Linked DNA regions of Mus musculus. The main gene of each other region encodes a partner of the protein of the gene in region 2 in a complex. Links are inferred from orthologs where the notes say so. Each region holds a gene or a part of one and is shown on either strand. Other genes may lie near its edges.

Region 1 (5,197 bases), about 4.6 Mb from region 2:
GACCAGACTGACAGGTCCTGGAGCAGGTGCCCAAACCAGCTGGCACCAGCTGCTTCTGGGAATGGATCCGGGTAGGCCCCATTCCAGGCTTGGAGAGGGTGAGGCAGGCTTGTGACTGGAAGGGGAGCTGGGGAGGCCCTTGACACAGATGTACCTTCTCTGGAAAGCCCCGAGAGAGACGTTCAAGGTTAGCCTGTGGACGCCCTTGGCATCTGGCGCTAAGCTTTCTGTGCCACCTCCAACAGGTTTATTCTTGTGCTCTAAACAGCTCTCTGGGCTGCTTCTCTGTGGGGCGTGTTTCCTCTTGTGGCTATTCTTTGAAGCAACCTGGCATTTTTCAATAGCAGCCACCGGAGAAAAAAAGGTCAGCAGATTTTTCCCCCCTCCCTTTCCACCTTCCAATCCAGTTGTAGGAAAGCTAATGTACTTAGTACCCTGCTCTTCCCACACTTAACCAGCCCATTCCAATCTTGGGGAGAGAGGTGGACCTGCGTTGTTCACCACAAAAGCAAAAGCGGCTCTTACTCAGAGTAGTAGGTCTCAAATCAGAGCCTGACTGACCGACCACTGACAGCACACACCAGTCCCTGCTCCCTACCAAAGTGTACAATTCGGTGTTCCGTCCACTCTGGGCAGCCCTCACTGCCCAGCGTGGAAGGGAACAACGAAGCGATGCTGCCAGGCGCGTCTGTGCCCACTGGGCTAAGCCGGATGGTACAACAGACAGCCAAGTCCACCCGCCAGCGCACGCCCTAGGCGCAAAGGGGACAGCGCGCGCCCAGAGTTGGCCACTCGAAGTTCGGCCCCGCGGAGGCGGTGGGGCAGGGCCTACTAGCCAGAGACCGGGGGCGGGTCCTGAGCCGTGACGCGGTGCGCTGCAGAGCCCAGATCCCTGGAATGTGCACTAGCTCGGCGCGGCCCCAGGGCCCGCGGCGCTGGGCACGTCTTATGTGGAGTTTGCGCAGTGGCAGCGTCCCTTGCCCACGTCACGCGCTCGCTGCACAGACCTACATAAGACGCTGGGCGGCGGCGCCTGAGGAGCCTCGGGCCTGTGCGTCCTCCTTTCAGTGCACGCGCAAAAGAGGCCGGGCCTGCCTGAGCACTAAGTTTTTGTAAAACTTAAAGGGGCAGCGGCAGTGTGTAGTTGCTTCCTCGACCAAAACAGGGCAGAGTGTTGATAGCGTGCGCGCGCCCAGCTGAAGCCAAGTGAGACGCTAACAAGGAAAAGTCCAAAGTGCGCCTCGCTATGCTCCAAATTCCATGCTCAGGAGGCTGCCAGTAACCAAGTGATAAAGTGGCATTGCATGTAAAATAAAACAGTTTGCACGATTTAATCGAAAGAACAGGGCCATGGGTTGGAGCATCCTGGCTGGGTAGGCGGGGTGACACGGGACTCTTGGGGACGCGAGCTGCACACCTGCGGCGCTAGGGCCGCGTGAACTGGTCTGCGCCTCAGTCCCGGCGCGCACGCGATCGAGAAACGGAAGAATCCAGGGTGGCGCGCGAGAGAGCGCAGAGGGAGGGAGGGAGGGAAGGAGGGCGGGCGCACGGGGCCGCGCGCGCCAGGGAGGGAGGGGGCCGCGCAGGCGCCGTGCAGAGCTGTCGAAGAATCAAGTCTGTAGAAGTGGAGCGGCCGCGGCGGTAGCAGCAGCAACAGCGGCGGCGCAGGAGCTGAGGCGCAGTGGGTGCTGTGCAGCGGCCGCGCCGGGGCCCGGGACCGAGCTGCACGCCGCCGCGCGCGGCATGCCCCGCCGCTCGGGCTGAGCTGCCCCGGCGGCTGCCCCGCGTCCCCCGTACCTCGCGCGGCTCTGCGCCCCGGGCGCCAGCGCGACCTGCTGCGCTCGCGGCCCGTCTTTGCCCCGGTCTGGAGGCCCCAGCCCGCGGCCCCGGCCGAGCCGCCGCCCCCGCGCGCGCCGCGCCGCCCCGCCGCCCGTGGGGACCTGCAGGCGCGCCCCGCCGCGCGCCCGCCGCCCCTCGTGCCCCGGGGGCGCCGCGCGGGCGCCGCGCCGGCCCGGGCTCTGCCGCCGCCGCCTCCTCGCCTGCGGCCGCCGCCGCCGCTAGTCGCGCAGACGCGGGCTTGGGCCGGCCGGCGCGCGCGCGCGGGATCCACGGGGGGCGGCGGCGTCCCCTCACCCGGCTCCTCCTGCGGCGCGGCGGGCTGTGCGGACATGGCCGCGGCGGTGGCGGTGGCGGCCGCCTCTCGGCGCCAGTCGTGCTATCTGTGTGACCTGCCCCGCATGCCCTGGGCCATGATCTGGGACTTCACGGAGCCCGTGTGCCGCGGCTGCGTCAACTACGAGGGAGCCGACCGCGTGGAGTTCGTCATCGAGACGGCCCGCCAGCTGAAGCGTGCTCACGGCTGCTTCCCGGAGGGCCGCTCCCCGACCGGTGCACAGCCCGCAGCCGCCAAGCCACCGCCACTGTCGGCCAAGGACCTACTGCTGCAGCCGCCGCCGCAGCTGGGCCACGCGGGCGCCGAGGCCGCGCGCGCTCAGGCTATGGAGCGCTACCCGCTGGCGCCGGATCGTGCCCCGCGCCTGGCCTCCGACTTCAGCACGCGTGCGGGTGCAGGCCTCCCACAGTCGGCCGCGCAGCAGTCCGCGCCGGCGAACGGCATCCTGGTGCCCAACGGGTTCTCCAAACTGGAGGAGCCGCCGGAGCTGAATCGCCAGAGCCCGAACCCTCGGCGTGCACACGCCGTTCCGCCCACTCTGGTGCCTCTGGTCAACGGTTCTGCCGCGCTGGGGTTGAGCGGCCGTGCTGCGGCCACACTGGCCGCGGTGAGCGGAACACCGGGCCTGGGAGCTCAGCCCGCCGAGTTGGGCACCCACAAACGCCCGGCGTCTGTGTCGAGCGCGGCGGCGGAGCACGAGGCGCGCGAGCCGAGCAAGGAGAAGGCGCAGCCCGCGCACCGGAGTCCGGCCGACAGCTTATCCAGCGCGGCCGGGGCCAGCGAGCTGAGCGCCGAGGGTGCAGGCAAAGGCCGCGCGCCCGGGGAGCAGGACTGGGCCAGCAGGCCTAAGACGGTGCGGGACACGCTCCTGGCGCTGCACCAGCACGGCCACTCGGGGCCCTTCGAGAGCAAGTTCAAGAAGGAGCCGGCTCTGACTGCAGCAGGCAGGTTGTTGGGTTTCGAGGCCAACGGGGCCAACGGGTCTAAAGCAGGTAGGGGCGACTGCGGGGCGAGGGGAGAAGGGATGGAGGGCGTGGGGTTAGAGGCAGCGTTTGAGCGCCCGCCCACCCGTGTGTGTGTGTGTGTGTGTGTGTGTGTGCGCGCGCGCGCGTGCGTGTGTGCGCGTGGGTGGGTGGGTGGGTGGGTGGGTGGTAGGGATCCATTCTTCCATGCACAGTTTTGCCTTAATCCAGAAACAACAAACAGCCAACTTCCTGGTCGGCCCGGGGCTGAACCAGAGCTTAGTGGCAACGTGGTCCCTCTGCTGAACCAGCACAACAGGGATGAGTCAGAACGGGTTGATAGGCAGCGACACGGGGTTTTCCTTTCCCAGCACATTCTTGGATGGAAGCGTGAGGGCAGCAGTCACCCTTTAACCTGTCTGCTAAATGCAGTCACATGAGCTGGTCTGGGGTTGGAGCCTTTCAGGCAGGATCCCATGACTTGGCTTACCTTGGAGGTGGTGTGCAGGCTCAGAGCCCTTTATTAGGGGAAATGTTTGAAGCTGCGTGCAGAACTATGTGTGTTTTTGAAGATGAGAGCTGTCTCTTTGGGGGTACGTTAAAGTTAATCTTCCTTTTCTTCCATACCTGTCTCTTTCCAGTTGCAAGGACAGCAAGGAAAAGGAAGCCTTCCCCAGAACCGGAAGGGGAAGTCGGGCCCCCTAAGATCAATGGTGAGACACAGCCTTGGCTGTCCACTTCCACAGAAGGGCTCAAGATCCCCATCACCCCTACATCCTCTTTTGTGTCTCCACCACCCCCTACTGCCTCTCCTCATTCCAACCGGACCACACCGCCTGAAGCGGCCCAGAATGGCCAGTCCCCAATGGCAGCCCTGATTTTAGTAGCAGACAATGCCGGGGGCAGTCACGCCTCAAAAGATGCCACCCAGGTTCACTCCACCACCAGGAGGAACAGCAGCAGCCCGCCCTCTCCCTCCTCTATGAACCAAAGAAGGCTTGGCCCCAGAGAGGTGGGGGGCCAGGCCACCGGCAGCACCGGAGGACTGGAGCCGGTGCACCCTGCCAGCCTCCCAGACTCCTCTCTGGCAGCCAGCGCCCCCCTGTGCTGCACCCTCTGCCACGAGCGGCTGGAGGATACTCACTTTGTGCAGTGCCCGTCTGTCCCTTCGCACAAGTTCTGTTTCCCTTGCTCCAGACAAAGCATTAAACAGCAGGGCGCTAGCGGAGAGGTCTATTGCCCAAGTGGAGAGAAGTGTCCTCTGGTGGGCTCCAATGTCCCCTGGGCCTTCATGCAAGGAGAGATTGCTACCATCCTCGCCGGAGATGTGAAAGTGAAGAAGGAGAGAGACTCGTGACTTTCTGCGTTCAGAAAAGCCCATGGTTACCCTTAACTCAAACTTGTTGAACTGTATATAGATCTCCATACATATATATATATATATAAATATAAATATATATATCCAAGACAAGGGAAATGTAGACTTCATAACATGGCTGTATAATTTTGATTTTTTTTGAATACATTGTGTTTCTATATTTTTTTTGACGACAAAAGGTATGTACTTTAAGGCATTTTCTTCTTTTGTTAACGTTGTTAGGCTGTCTGTGTTTGACTCTTTGGGTGACAGTTGCTGTTCTTTGTAGGCTGCGACTTGGCTGCTTTTGTTTTTTTTTGTTTTATTTTGTTTTTTGTTTTTTTTTTGTTTGTTTGTTTTTAAAGAGCACTTGGCAAACAAATGCTTCTAGCTGTATTTGTATGCACTTATTTTAAAAAAGAAAAAAAGCCAAATACATTTTTTTCTGACATTGTAAGATTGCCTTACTGTCTGTCATTTCTCCTCGCTGGCCTCTCTCAGGCTGGAGGCCAGTTGGTGGAGGAGAAAGGAAGTGAGTGGAAGGGGGACACCTGTCACAAGGGCATTCCCCGTCCCCCAGGAAATGTCACCCACCTTTCCGAGGGAGGGAAAATGGGGTTTGAATCTTGTCAACGGTTCAGCTCTTGCAATACTGGTCGTCAGAGGTGCTGCTGAAAGGTTATTTGCAACATTGTGTGTTCAGGG
Region 2 (5,257 bases):
CCAGCTAACAGTGCAGGAGGCTGGTTAGAAGCACTTCCACTGACTGGTTCCCTGGGAGGGTTTTATGAACAGAAGAGACATTAACAACGACCACCACAGCCCTAACTTCAGTGTCACATTCTTGTTGGGTGGGGCCCTCATTGCATCCAACTGTCTAGTCTCCCCCCTCCCAGGGAAACTTTTTCTGGATTTAAATAACTGAAATGACCCTTTAAGTAATATGGGGCTTTATAGTCAGCCTTGCATCGTGTAATTCATTCAACCATACACCTTAAGTTTCCATAGCACATCTGATTCTGAGAAAGCAGGCTAAGCTACATGGGGTGGCATTAGTAAAACCACTGCTGTGAATTCATCTAGAACCTGGGCTTGGACCCTCCGTTTCCCCTGAGCCCCTCACCTCGAGCAGTACTAGTCAGAATTCTAGTCATCACCCCTCCCCACCTGCATCTGACGTGTTCTCGTGAATACACTGCATGTCTAGCAGAAAGCTGATGTTCTTAGTCTATCTCCTGGGGTATTTGATATCAGTGTCTCTATTGACCACATAGCCTCAATCCAACAAACACTACAGTATCTGCTGGGCTTTTTCCAGAAACTGCACGTTTTTCCTGCCAAAACTTATAAACACTGGATACTTTGGGATAACGAAAATAGCAGACTGGAGGAGATATGACAACTAGAGTATGGAGTCTTGAATTACATCCTGAAACAAAACAAACAAAAGATGTCAGTGGGACATTGAAACGTGTGTATGGTCTTTATAATCTAGGTAACCTTCCTGTTAGCCAAGAGAGAAAATGAAGGGGAAGAGGAAGCTCATTCAGTTTCTCTGAAATTCTTAACCACAGACTAACTCTGCAGGTGGACCTCAGAATGCTCATGAAGTGTGGGTTGCTGTGGACTCTGCTGCAAGGCCCTGGGCAAGGGTGCCAGCCCAAAACAGCGCCTCGCTATCCCTGTGCTATGGGCGCGGCAAACACTGCACTGCGCACCTCGGGATCAATGAACCATGCATAATATGCTAGCTACTTGCACTAGCCCAGCAACAAAGTGAAGAGGCTAAACTCAGAGCTCACCAGACAAGTCAAATCAAGTGCCTAATCTCAGTGTGGGACCAGTCCTCTGCATCCTAATCTCAGTGTGGGACCAGTCCTCTGCATCCCGGTACCCTACCAAAGGACCACCCAGTCAACTGGAGGCAGCCAGACACCATGTTCTGGCACACATCCGTCACAAAGAGCAAAAAATGGAAGGAGACAAATTGTCTGAATGAAGACAACAGGCTTTGAAATTCCTGTTCAAGATGAGTGGCCTTGTAAACAATCTCCACTTACCCCACTAAAATACTTACTACAGTACAATCAGCTCACAAGAAAATAGAGCACAGCCAAAGACTTAAACTTCTGACAGAGGATCTAGATAGCTTGCAGGACACAGGAGTGGGGCTCCAGGCCCCACCTGGCCCTCAGCAGTCTCCACAGCCACCCCTGACAAGCAAAACAGCTTCCAAGCAAAGGGAGACAGACCCTGGAAGATGCATAAACAGCCCAGATATAAGGTGTCTGTTATGTGGTCCTCCAAGTCTTGAGGTAACAACCTCTCCCAGACACTAGTGGGGAAAACCATTTTTAAACCCCTCTCCACAGACCCAGGGCCCCCTGCCAGTTTCCTCTTACCTTAAAGTCTAAGGTTTAAGCAATAATAATTAGCACTATTGGAGGACCTGCCATCCAAAGCAAGAAGCTAACATTTACCACCCACCCCCCAAAAGTGATAAACAAGAAGTCAGATAAGAGAACTGAAAAGAACCCCTAATAGTTTTCTCAGCCTGAAAGAGAAAACATATTCATGAAACAAACTACTGAACAAAAGGAAAAGAACAAATACATTCAGAAATTTTTTTTTGTTTGTTTCGTTTTTCAAGACAAGGTTTCTCTGTGTAGTTCTGGCTGTCCTAGAACTCACTCTGTAGAGCAGGATGGTGTCAGACTTAAGAGATCCGCCTGCCTCTGCCTCCCAAGTGCTGGGGCTAGAGGTGTGTACCTCTCTATGCCCTGCTCAGAAACTACAATTCTGATGGTGGATTCGCCGGCCCCCTCCCCGAGATAGGGGAGGTTGCCTATGTAAACACTATGTAAACGAGGTTGCCTCAAACTGGCAAAGATCCACCTGCCTCTGTCTCCTAAGTGCTTGGAATTAAAAGTCCTGCGCCACTGGGGTGAAAGATAAACTGAAGTTCTTTCCTGGAATGAAAATCAAAAAGGAATAGAAAGATAAAGAAACTCAAGTAGTGTGCCCAAATGGGGCGGGGGTGGGGGGGAGGGCGACAAACTCTCTAACGACTTTAAGAAAGGCTCTTGGGACAATCTCCCAGCGCTCGAGGACACGCCTACCGAGCATACCTGCGAAGGGCAGACCTGTTCCAATGCCAAGAAGACCTTAGGCCGGTCCAGGGAGGAAACAGTTACCAGAAAGGAAGTCCTTGGCAGAGGCTCCCTGGGGACTCAAGAAGAAAGCTGACTGAAACACTGCGTCCTGAGCTGACCAGGCGTGCAGCGAAAGAAAGACCTCGGGACCTACCTGCACCCGCCTAAAGCGTCCCCAACCCAGATTAGAAGAAAGGCAGAGAGGAGGTAGAGGGAAGCCGGAGGTTCCACACTATCTCCGAGAAGTTACAATGTCACCAGGAGCAGAGAAACAAAGGCCACCACAAGTAACAAGGAAAAAAAAGAGCCAGGCTGTGCGGGACGGGGACGTGACGCTAGGTGGGGAAGCGAGCACCAGTCTCGGCCCCGATGTCAACAGAGAGCAGAGCAGAGGCGGGCGGACGCGCCAACCAGGGCGAAGTCACCCGGTTACCGGGGCATAGCGCCAACAACGGCCGGGAGATGGGGCCACCTAGGCGGCGGGGCGGCGCGCGGGGCCCGGGCGCAGCGCGCGAGGCTCAGTCCTGAGAGACTTGGGCGGCCGAGCCAGGGCCACAGCGCCCGCGCGCCGAGCCCGTGACAGGAGCGCCGGGCGCGGGCCCGGGAGGCGCCGAGGCCCCGGAGCCGAACGCACGCGAGCACGGCCGCCGGGCCTCGGCCGCTCGCCCGCTCGCTCGCTCGCTTCCCGGGTCCCGCAGCCCCGGCGGGTGGAGGCGCGGAGGCGACGCGCGGACATCCCGCGGCCCGCCGGCCCCCGCCCAGCCCGGCGTGCGGCCCCGTGGCCGTTGGCGACGGTTGGCGGCGGGGCGGGGCGGGGGCGGCCGGAGATCTCGCTCTCGCTCTCGCTCTCGCCCCGCGGGAAGGGGGAGTGGAGGCGCGACCGGCTGCGGGAGCTGCAATTACCGTGTGGGCTGCGGAATTCTCGTGGTGTTTGTCGGGGAGCTGCGATAATGGCGTCCGTCCTCGCGAGAGAAGCAGCCGCTCTGCGCAGGCGCCGCGAGCGCCTCCCCACGGCCTGCGCCCCGCCCTCAGCGCAGGCTCCCTGGGCTCCCGGCTCAAGGGCGGGGCCGGTCGGGAAGGGGGCGGGGCCTGCTCTGGGCGCCTCTGGCGCGCGCTTTCGCCGACGGACTCCAACGAGCATGCGCAGTTGTCCTCCCCTGCTCCGAGAGTTGACTCGCTGGGCCCTTACTTCCCCATCTCACGTCCATGTTACTTGCTAAAGCAGTAAATCCTCCAGTGTTCAATCTGAGGAATGTACGTCCTCTTTGATGGGTGTGAACACACTAACGCTGCCCTGACGACTACAAATCCCAGTGTGCGCTGTGTGTGGCACGATGCGTCCTGGGACTGGTAGTCTCTGCGGCCATGATTTGCCTGCTGGGATTTGTAGTCCATCCGGATTCTGGCTGCCCCATGCCTTCCCTGCCCTGAGGGCTGCTGGGACTTGTAGTGTCAGCGGCTCAAATGGGCTGTACGCTCCCAAACCCGTCCTACCTACTCTACCTGGCATCGGTCTCAGACGTTCCGGGCTCGTTCAGTGGCATTGTCTGGAAAGTTGCCTGACTTCCTTATGGACAAGCTGGTCGTGGGGACACTGTCACTGTGATAGAGATTATATGTGACATGCTTACGTATCATGCAATAGGAGCTATGCAGCATCGATGTGCATTTGTTGCCAGAAATGCCACTAATGGTTCTCTGCACCTGGTCTGTCGTCAGTGTTCCTTTCCAGGCTGTCCCCTTCTGCATGTTCGCAGTGAGCAATCCTACAAACCGGGATTACAGGAGTTATTTTCACTTAGAAAACTAAACAAAACAAAAACCTGTTTCCTGCCCGTTCCCCTGTGCCGATAATAAAGCCATGACTCAGTGCAGCTACCAGCTGGGCAACCTTGGGACAGCCCTTCTAAACCACTGTGCTCTGTCTGGGGTTTGATCCTGTGCCACTTTACCTCAGGATTGTCTTGAAGATTTCAACCTAGAACTGTGCTGTTAAAATGAGACCTGCTGGGCAGTGGTGGCGCACACCTTTAATCCCAGCACTTGGAAGGTAAAGGCAGCCAGATTTCTGAGTTCGAGCCAGCCCAATCTACAGAGTGAGTTCCAGGACAGCCAGAGTTATACAGAGAAGCCCTGTCTCATTTGGGGAAAAAAAAAAAAAAAAAAAAAAAAGCACTGACTGCTCTTCCAGAGGTCCTGAGTTCAAACCCCAGGAACTACATGATGGCTCACAACCATCTGTAATGGGAACCCAATGCCCTCTTCTGGTGTGTCTGAAGACAGTGACAGTGTACCCACATACATGAAATAAATAAATAAATCTTTAAAATAAAAAGAAAGAAAGCTAAGCCCAGAGGAACTACGAGGAACTTGGCCAGAAACTCTTAGAGAGTTGTACTATCTCCTCCCACCGCCCCTCAATTGGGCCCAGATTTTAAAACTGTAGTTGTGAGAGTTCTGAACATGAATGCCTGACCGCACGGAAAAACAGAGTAATGGTGACGTCATCCCCAGCATGTCACCCTAACATCCCCCTTAACCTCCCTTTCACCCCTGGCGTTGCCGTCTCCTCCATCCCAGGACTTCAAATGTATTTAGTGCAACCATCAAGCAGATGAGTGGATGGTGGGGAAAGGGTGGGTTGGCACCAGTAGGCAGCAATGAAGGGCTGAATGAGAGTCCGAGTGCTAATACAGTTTAGATCTCAACCAGAGAGTACACTAATCAGAGCCAGAGTTCAGAACCGGGAGGCTGATGTGTGCGCATGCGTGCAACATGCATGTCCCTCGGCAGCTGCCCACCTTGAATTTTAAACCACAGTCTCTCAA
Region 3 (5,165 bases), on a different chromosome or scaffold from region 2:
AGGACAGGTGCGGGACAAGGCCGCACACACATCAGAAGCAGCCGCGGTGGGCGGGAGCCTTTTACTTAGCTCCTAAGTGTTTTAGGGTGATAGCCACTGTCCCCAGATGAAGGGCGTGAGCCCAGTTCAGGTTTCTCAGGTGTGTCCATCTCTTGGGCACTATATGAAGCAAGAAGGTACCATCCTGCTCCCATATACATTTACCCAGGAAGGTTCAACTCACTCTTTCCATGGACAGTGCCCCTAGAAATATCTCCAAGTAAACTACCTCTAGAACACTTCCTACTTCTTTTCCCTCCTCTGATGTCTCTGCATTCAGAGGGCCAGCTGTAGTGCAAACCTACTCTCAAGTTTGTGATCGCCGTGCAGGAGCCAAGCCCTGTCAGAATCTCAGTACCATCGTCTGCAAAACCGGCCTCGACTACACCTTTAATTAGAGCACAGCAAATGTACACTACTACAAACAGCAGCCCACTGGACAAAAGGCACCACCTAGTGGTCACAACGCAGAAGTCCTCTTGCGCGCAGGACAAGTCCAATCCCGAAGGGGGCGCAGCATCTCATAAAAACTAAAGGGAACAAGAAGGGGGAAAAAGAACAACCCATCTCTCAGTTTATTGAAGGAGGAAAAGGGTGGGAGAGGGGGAACAATAAAATGCTTTTGCTTCGTTTATAAAGAGCGAGTTCTCAGGAGGTCCCTTCTCAAGGACACGCGGGGTACCTCTCACCCAACTACCAACAGCAGGAAAGCCAAGCCAAGAAAGGAAAAAGAAAGGAGGGGCCCAGGAACCCCAAACACCCTCTCTGACAGGAGCCACAAGCTCTCTCCCCCCACCCACAATGTATCTACCCCAGGGGACCCATCTGGGCAGAGGAAAGGGTATATACATAGGTTAGGGTGGTACAGGGTTGGGTGCGGTAGGGAATAATTTATCCGCAGATGCGGTGATGGTTAAGGGGGAGGGGAAAGAAGCCTGGCAGTGGCAGCCTAGGGGTCTCTTTCTTTCTTGACCTTGATGTCACCAGCAAGAATAGTAGCGATCTCGCCCTGCATGAAGGCCCAGGGGACAGAGGAACCCACCAGTGGACATTTGTCTCCACTGGGGCAGTACACCTCTCCGGCTGGGCCCTGTGCCTTGATAAACTCTCGGGAGCAAGGAAAGCAGAACTTGTGTCCGGGTACCGAGGGACACTGCACGAAGTGGGTGTCTTCCAGCCTTTCTCTGCACAGGGTACAGCACAAGGGGGCTCCAGGGGTCGCCCCTGTGCCGCTACCACCCCCGCTGACAGCTTCAGCCCCGGCAGTGGGGCTGACTTCTGCCTCTCCATTGCGTGCCACCAAACGATGCTGGGCCGGTGGTTGGGTTGTGGAGGAAGCCGCGGGGCTAGCACCCCCTGCGCGGACAGAGCCTCCACCCCCACCAGGGTCCTTGGGTGAGTGGCCCAGAGCCTCGGCCACATTCTTGAGGGCAGCAATAGGTGAGGGCACACCAGGGGTCTCTGAAGAGTATGGACCGCCTGGCGCCACCCAGTGCCGCTGTTGCTGCTCCTCCGTGGTCATCTTCCCAGCTGTCTCGCCCTCGGGCTCAGGGGATGCTTTGCGACGGCGTGGAGTGGGCGCCAGGTTTCGGGATGGGGCTCTTGGAGGTGGGCCACACAGAGCAGCAGGGGCCGGTTCTGGGTACTGCTGGGGCAGGGCCTCCGCAGGAGCAGGCTCTCGGAAGCTGCGGACCCCATCCGTAAGCAGCTCTCCTAACTGGCGCCATTCCCCTGAACCATGGCGCCGTTCATACTCGAGGTACTTGAAGCCCGATGAGGCCAGGGCCTTCCCTGGCTCTCGAAGAGCATCATGAAACATCTGGCGAGCCACTGCAAGGACCCCCGCGTAAACATTGCCAGAACCACAGGGGTATTCGGTGAAGAGCTTCAGCTCGAACTCATAGCCCGGAGGGCGGGCAGTGGCATCAAAGGCGAACACCCGTCCCACCAGCCCGTGGTCCTTCTTGAATCGAACATTGAAAGGGGCACAGGCGGACAGAGCCAGTAGCTGTTCCCTTACAGCCTTGGGACGCCCATGCCACTCCTCCGCCCGGCCCCGCATGGCCTCGTTCAGTTCTGCCAAGCAGTCCGCATTCCTCTGCTGCTTCTCCTTCTCGAAATCGGAGCCGAAAAGTGGACGAGCGGGGCTTAAGCCAGGTGCCAGCGTCAGAGCTCGGCCTCCAAGGCCAGACACTGCAGCTGCCAGCAGCCCGGGGGGCATCAAGCTGGGGATGGAGCCAAGCAAAGCCCTGCGTGCCCCTTCCGCCACGGCCTCCTCGCGGCCCAGCCCGTTGGCCAAGCGGGACCCCAGGGTGTACTCCAAAGCCGGCGAAGGCAGCGCCAGGCGGCTGGATGAAGTAGCCCTGTCATAGCGGTCCGGGCCTGAGACGCTACCGCCGGTCCCCGATGGCTGCGCCTGGGCCTGCGGGGGTGGCAACTGGGAGCCCTGGGAGCCCGTGGAGGCTAGGTCCTTGGAAGTCGGGTGCTTGAGAGCCGGGGGTCCGGGCGAGCGGCCCTCGGGGAGCACGTGGCTGCGCTTGAGCTGGCGGGCGGCGTCGATGAGCAGCTCGATGCGGTCCGCGCCCTCGAAATTCACGCACCCGCGGCACACAGCCTCGCTGAAGTCCCACACCATGGCCCACGGCATCTTGGGCAGGTCGCACAGGTAGCACCACTGGCGGCGGGACGCTTGCACGGACGCCATGGCGCCCCCCGGAACGCCGCCAGGTGCCCCTGCTGTGCACCCGCCGCCCACGTTCGCTCCGCCGTGCCCCGGGACGGGCGCGCGAGCCGCTCAATCCGGCCTCGGGCTCGGCCTCCCCGCCGGATTCAGGCCCGGCCCCCCTTCCCCGCCCCCTGGGCCCTCAGCCTTTTTTTTCCTCTCTCTCTCACTCCCGCCTCCGGTGGAAAAGGCAAGCCACGAGCACGCACGTCGGCGCCCCCGTCCGGTCCGCGCCGTGAGCCGCGATGCACAGCTCCAGCTCCTCGATGGGCCTCGGGCGCCGCCGCCCCAGGCTCCCGCCGCTCCGCTCGCGCCGCCGACGCCGCTGCAACGGCCGCCGTCGCCTCCACCTCCTTCTTCTGCCCCAGAGGCCGCTTCGCAGGGAAAGTTACATAACGCGCGGGCAAAGCCTTCTGGGAAATGTAGTCCCGTCGGGGCTGCTTCTTAAAGGGGACTGGGTAGAAAGCAGTGGCGGGAAAAGAGGGCGCGCGCTGGTCTGGGTGCTTAATTTTCACTGTGCCTCGCCAGGAAGCTGGGGTTCGCACACAGGGTCCATGGAGTGGGTAATGGTTTCATAAATGCTCGGGTGGCCAAGTTGCTGTGGATGCAATTTCCCCCCTTTCCCCGCCCCCTCTTTCTTTCTTTTTTTTTTTTTTAAACAATCTTTTTTTTTTTTTTTTAGATTTATTTATTTATTTATTTATTATATGTAAGTACACTGCAGCTGTCCTCAGACACTCCAGAAGAGGGAGTCAGATCTCGTTACGGATGGTTGTGAGCCACCATGTGGTTGCTGGGATTTGAACTCCTGACCTTCGGAAGAGCAGTCGGGTGCTCTTACCCACTGAGCCATCTCACCAGCCCCCCCTCTTTCTTTCTTAAGACTTAGATTTATTCTTTAGCTCAGGTTGGCCTAGAAGGCTAGCCTATGTAGTCTAGGCTGGCCTCAAACTTGCTGCAATCTCCCTGCTTCAGCCTCCTTGTGGGTTTACAGTCCCGACACCATACCCAGAAGCCGGAAAGCAGTTTCTGCTCTGATTTGCTGAGCAGTTCTAGAAGAGTCTTGCCCTCTCTTAGAATCCCGCCCCTTCAAGAAGGGCCAATAACCGGTTAGAAAGGCAGCAGCTTTGGGGGAATTGGGGCGGAGAGGCTCTGATTGGACGGTTTCAAGGGGATGGTTTCAGGCAACTCTTGGAGAGTAGTGTCTACTTGGCAGTTTGTCCTTCCCAGTGTCTTAGGTACTAGCCTCAAGGGCGGCCCAGAGGCTACAGGATGATAAGACTGTAGGCTTCCGAGCCAGGCGGCTGCCTTAGTTTCCTCATCTGCTAAAGAACGTTCTCTGAGCCTGCCAATTCTGCTCCAGCTGTGCACGTATTTGGTCTCTAAAGGGTTACAGAGTTGGCTTCTCGGTACACCTCCAATTTCACTACAATTCCCAAAATGCTCTGCGAGATGGACGCACTGACGTACTTCCTCTGCTTGGAAGCTTGGGGGGGGAAGGCCTTCCCGATTCTTGCCCCCCCCCCTTGCTAGCAGGGAATTTCGCCCTCTCCCTCCACCCCCACCCCCCAGGTTAGGGGGCTCTTATTACTCTTATATTTGGAATGAGGAAGCCAAGAGGAGATTGCTGGGAAGGGCAACCCCAAACCTCCAAGTGCTTAATGGCCTGGTGGGCCCAATCGGCTGTGGGCACCCCATGTTTTTAGCTTTTTTGGGGGGGTGGGGGGAGCTAGGAGAAGCGACATATGTCTCCAGGACCTAGCTCACATCAGCCCTTTCCCCTCACTTGGCCTGGATCCCCGCTGGTGGTCTCAATTCCCCCCCCCCCCCCCAGTGTCTTCTTTGCGTTCTTCCAGGTTTGCACTTAGTGGAGGCTTGGTGGTTTTCTCACCCCCACCCCAGAGTAGTCACAGCAGCCCTGGCTTTCTATTTCAGCGTTACAATTTAACTACCACCTGCATTACTGTTTTAACACTTCTCCCTTAAACAAATTGCCTATTTTTATCGTTTCCTGGGAGATACTATGTTCACAACCATAGGTTTCCTGTACTACTGTTTATTTACTTTCTCCTGCTTATACGTGGTACTGGGATGGAATCCAGGGCCTTATGCTAAGTGCTCTAGTGCTGAGATGTACTACCAGCCTGTATTTTTAATTTTGAAACTGGGCCTCACTAGGTGGTCCAGGCTGGCTGGCCTGAGCTCTGGGTCCTCCTTCCTTAACCTCCTGGGGGCTGAGATTTCAAAAATACATTAACCATGCCTGGCTTTATTTATTTTTCCTTTTTCTAACGATAGGTCTCTGAAGCACAGGTTAGCCTTGAACTCACAGCAAGCCTCCCTAGTACAGGAATGGCAAGTATGAGCCATGATCCCTTGATAGGCTCTTTAAGGCTGTAAAAGC

Evidence for each region.
Region 1: Banp (region 2) and Irf2bp2 share a complex: the UniProt entries of both Homo sapiens proteins name them as parts of the corepressor complex. The link is inferred for Mus musculus from reciprocal best matches to the Homo sapiens genes BANP and IRF2BP2.
Region 3: Banp (region 2) and Irf2bp1 share a complex: the UniProt entries of both Homo sapiens proteins name them as parts of the corepressor complex. The link is inferred for Mus musculus from reciprocal best matches to the Homo sapiens genes BANP and IRF2BP1.

The regions. Positions count from the first base shown.
Region 1 is NC_000074.6:126,590,408-126,595,604, reverse strand, and holds the start of Irf2bp2 (interferon regulatory factor 2-binding protein 2), read left to right. Parts: upstream 1-1,618; 5' UTR 1,619-2,168; coding exon 2,169-3,165; intron 3,166-3,776; coding exon 3,777-4,492; 3' UTR 4,493-5,197. UniProt on the Homo sapiens protein: Acts as a transcriptional corepressor in a IRF2-dependent manner; this repression is not mediated by histone deacetylase activities. Represses the NFAT1-dependent transactivation of NFAT-responsive promoters.
Region 2 is NC_000074.6:121,948,724-121,953,980, reverse strand, and holds the start of Banp (protein BANP), read right to left. Parts: upstream 3,490-5,257; 5' UTR 3,333-3,489; intron 1-3,332. UniProt on the Homo sapiens protein: Controls V(D)J recombination during T-cell development by repressing T-cell receptor (TCR) beta enhancer function. Binds to scaffold/matrix attachment region beta (S/MARbeta), an ATC-rich DNA sequence located upstream of the TCR beta enhancer.
Region 3 is NC_000073.6:19,002,015-19,007,179, reverse strand, and holds Irf2bp1 (interferon regulatory factor 2-binding protein 1), read right to left. Parts: upstream 3,123-5,165; 5' UTR 2,744-3,122; coding exon 989-2,743; 3' UTR 417-988; downstream 1-416. UniProt on the Homo sapiens protein: Acts as a transcriptional corepressor in a IRF2-dependent manner; this repression is not mediated by histone deacetylase activities. May act as an E3 ligase towards JDP2, enhancing its polyubiquitination. Represses ATF2-dependent transcriptional activation.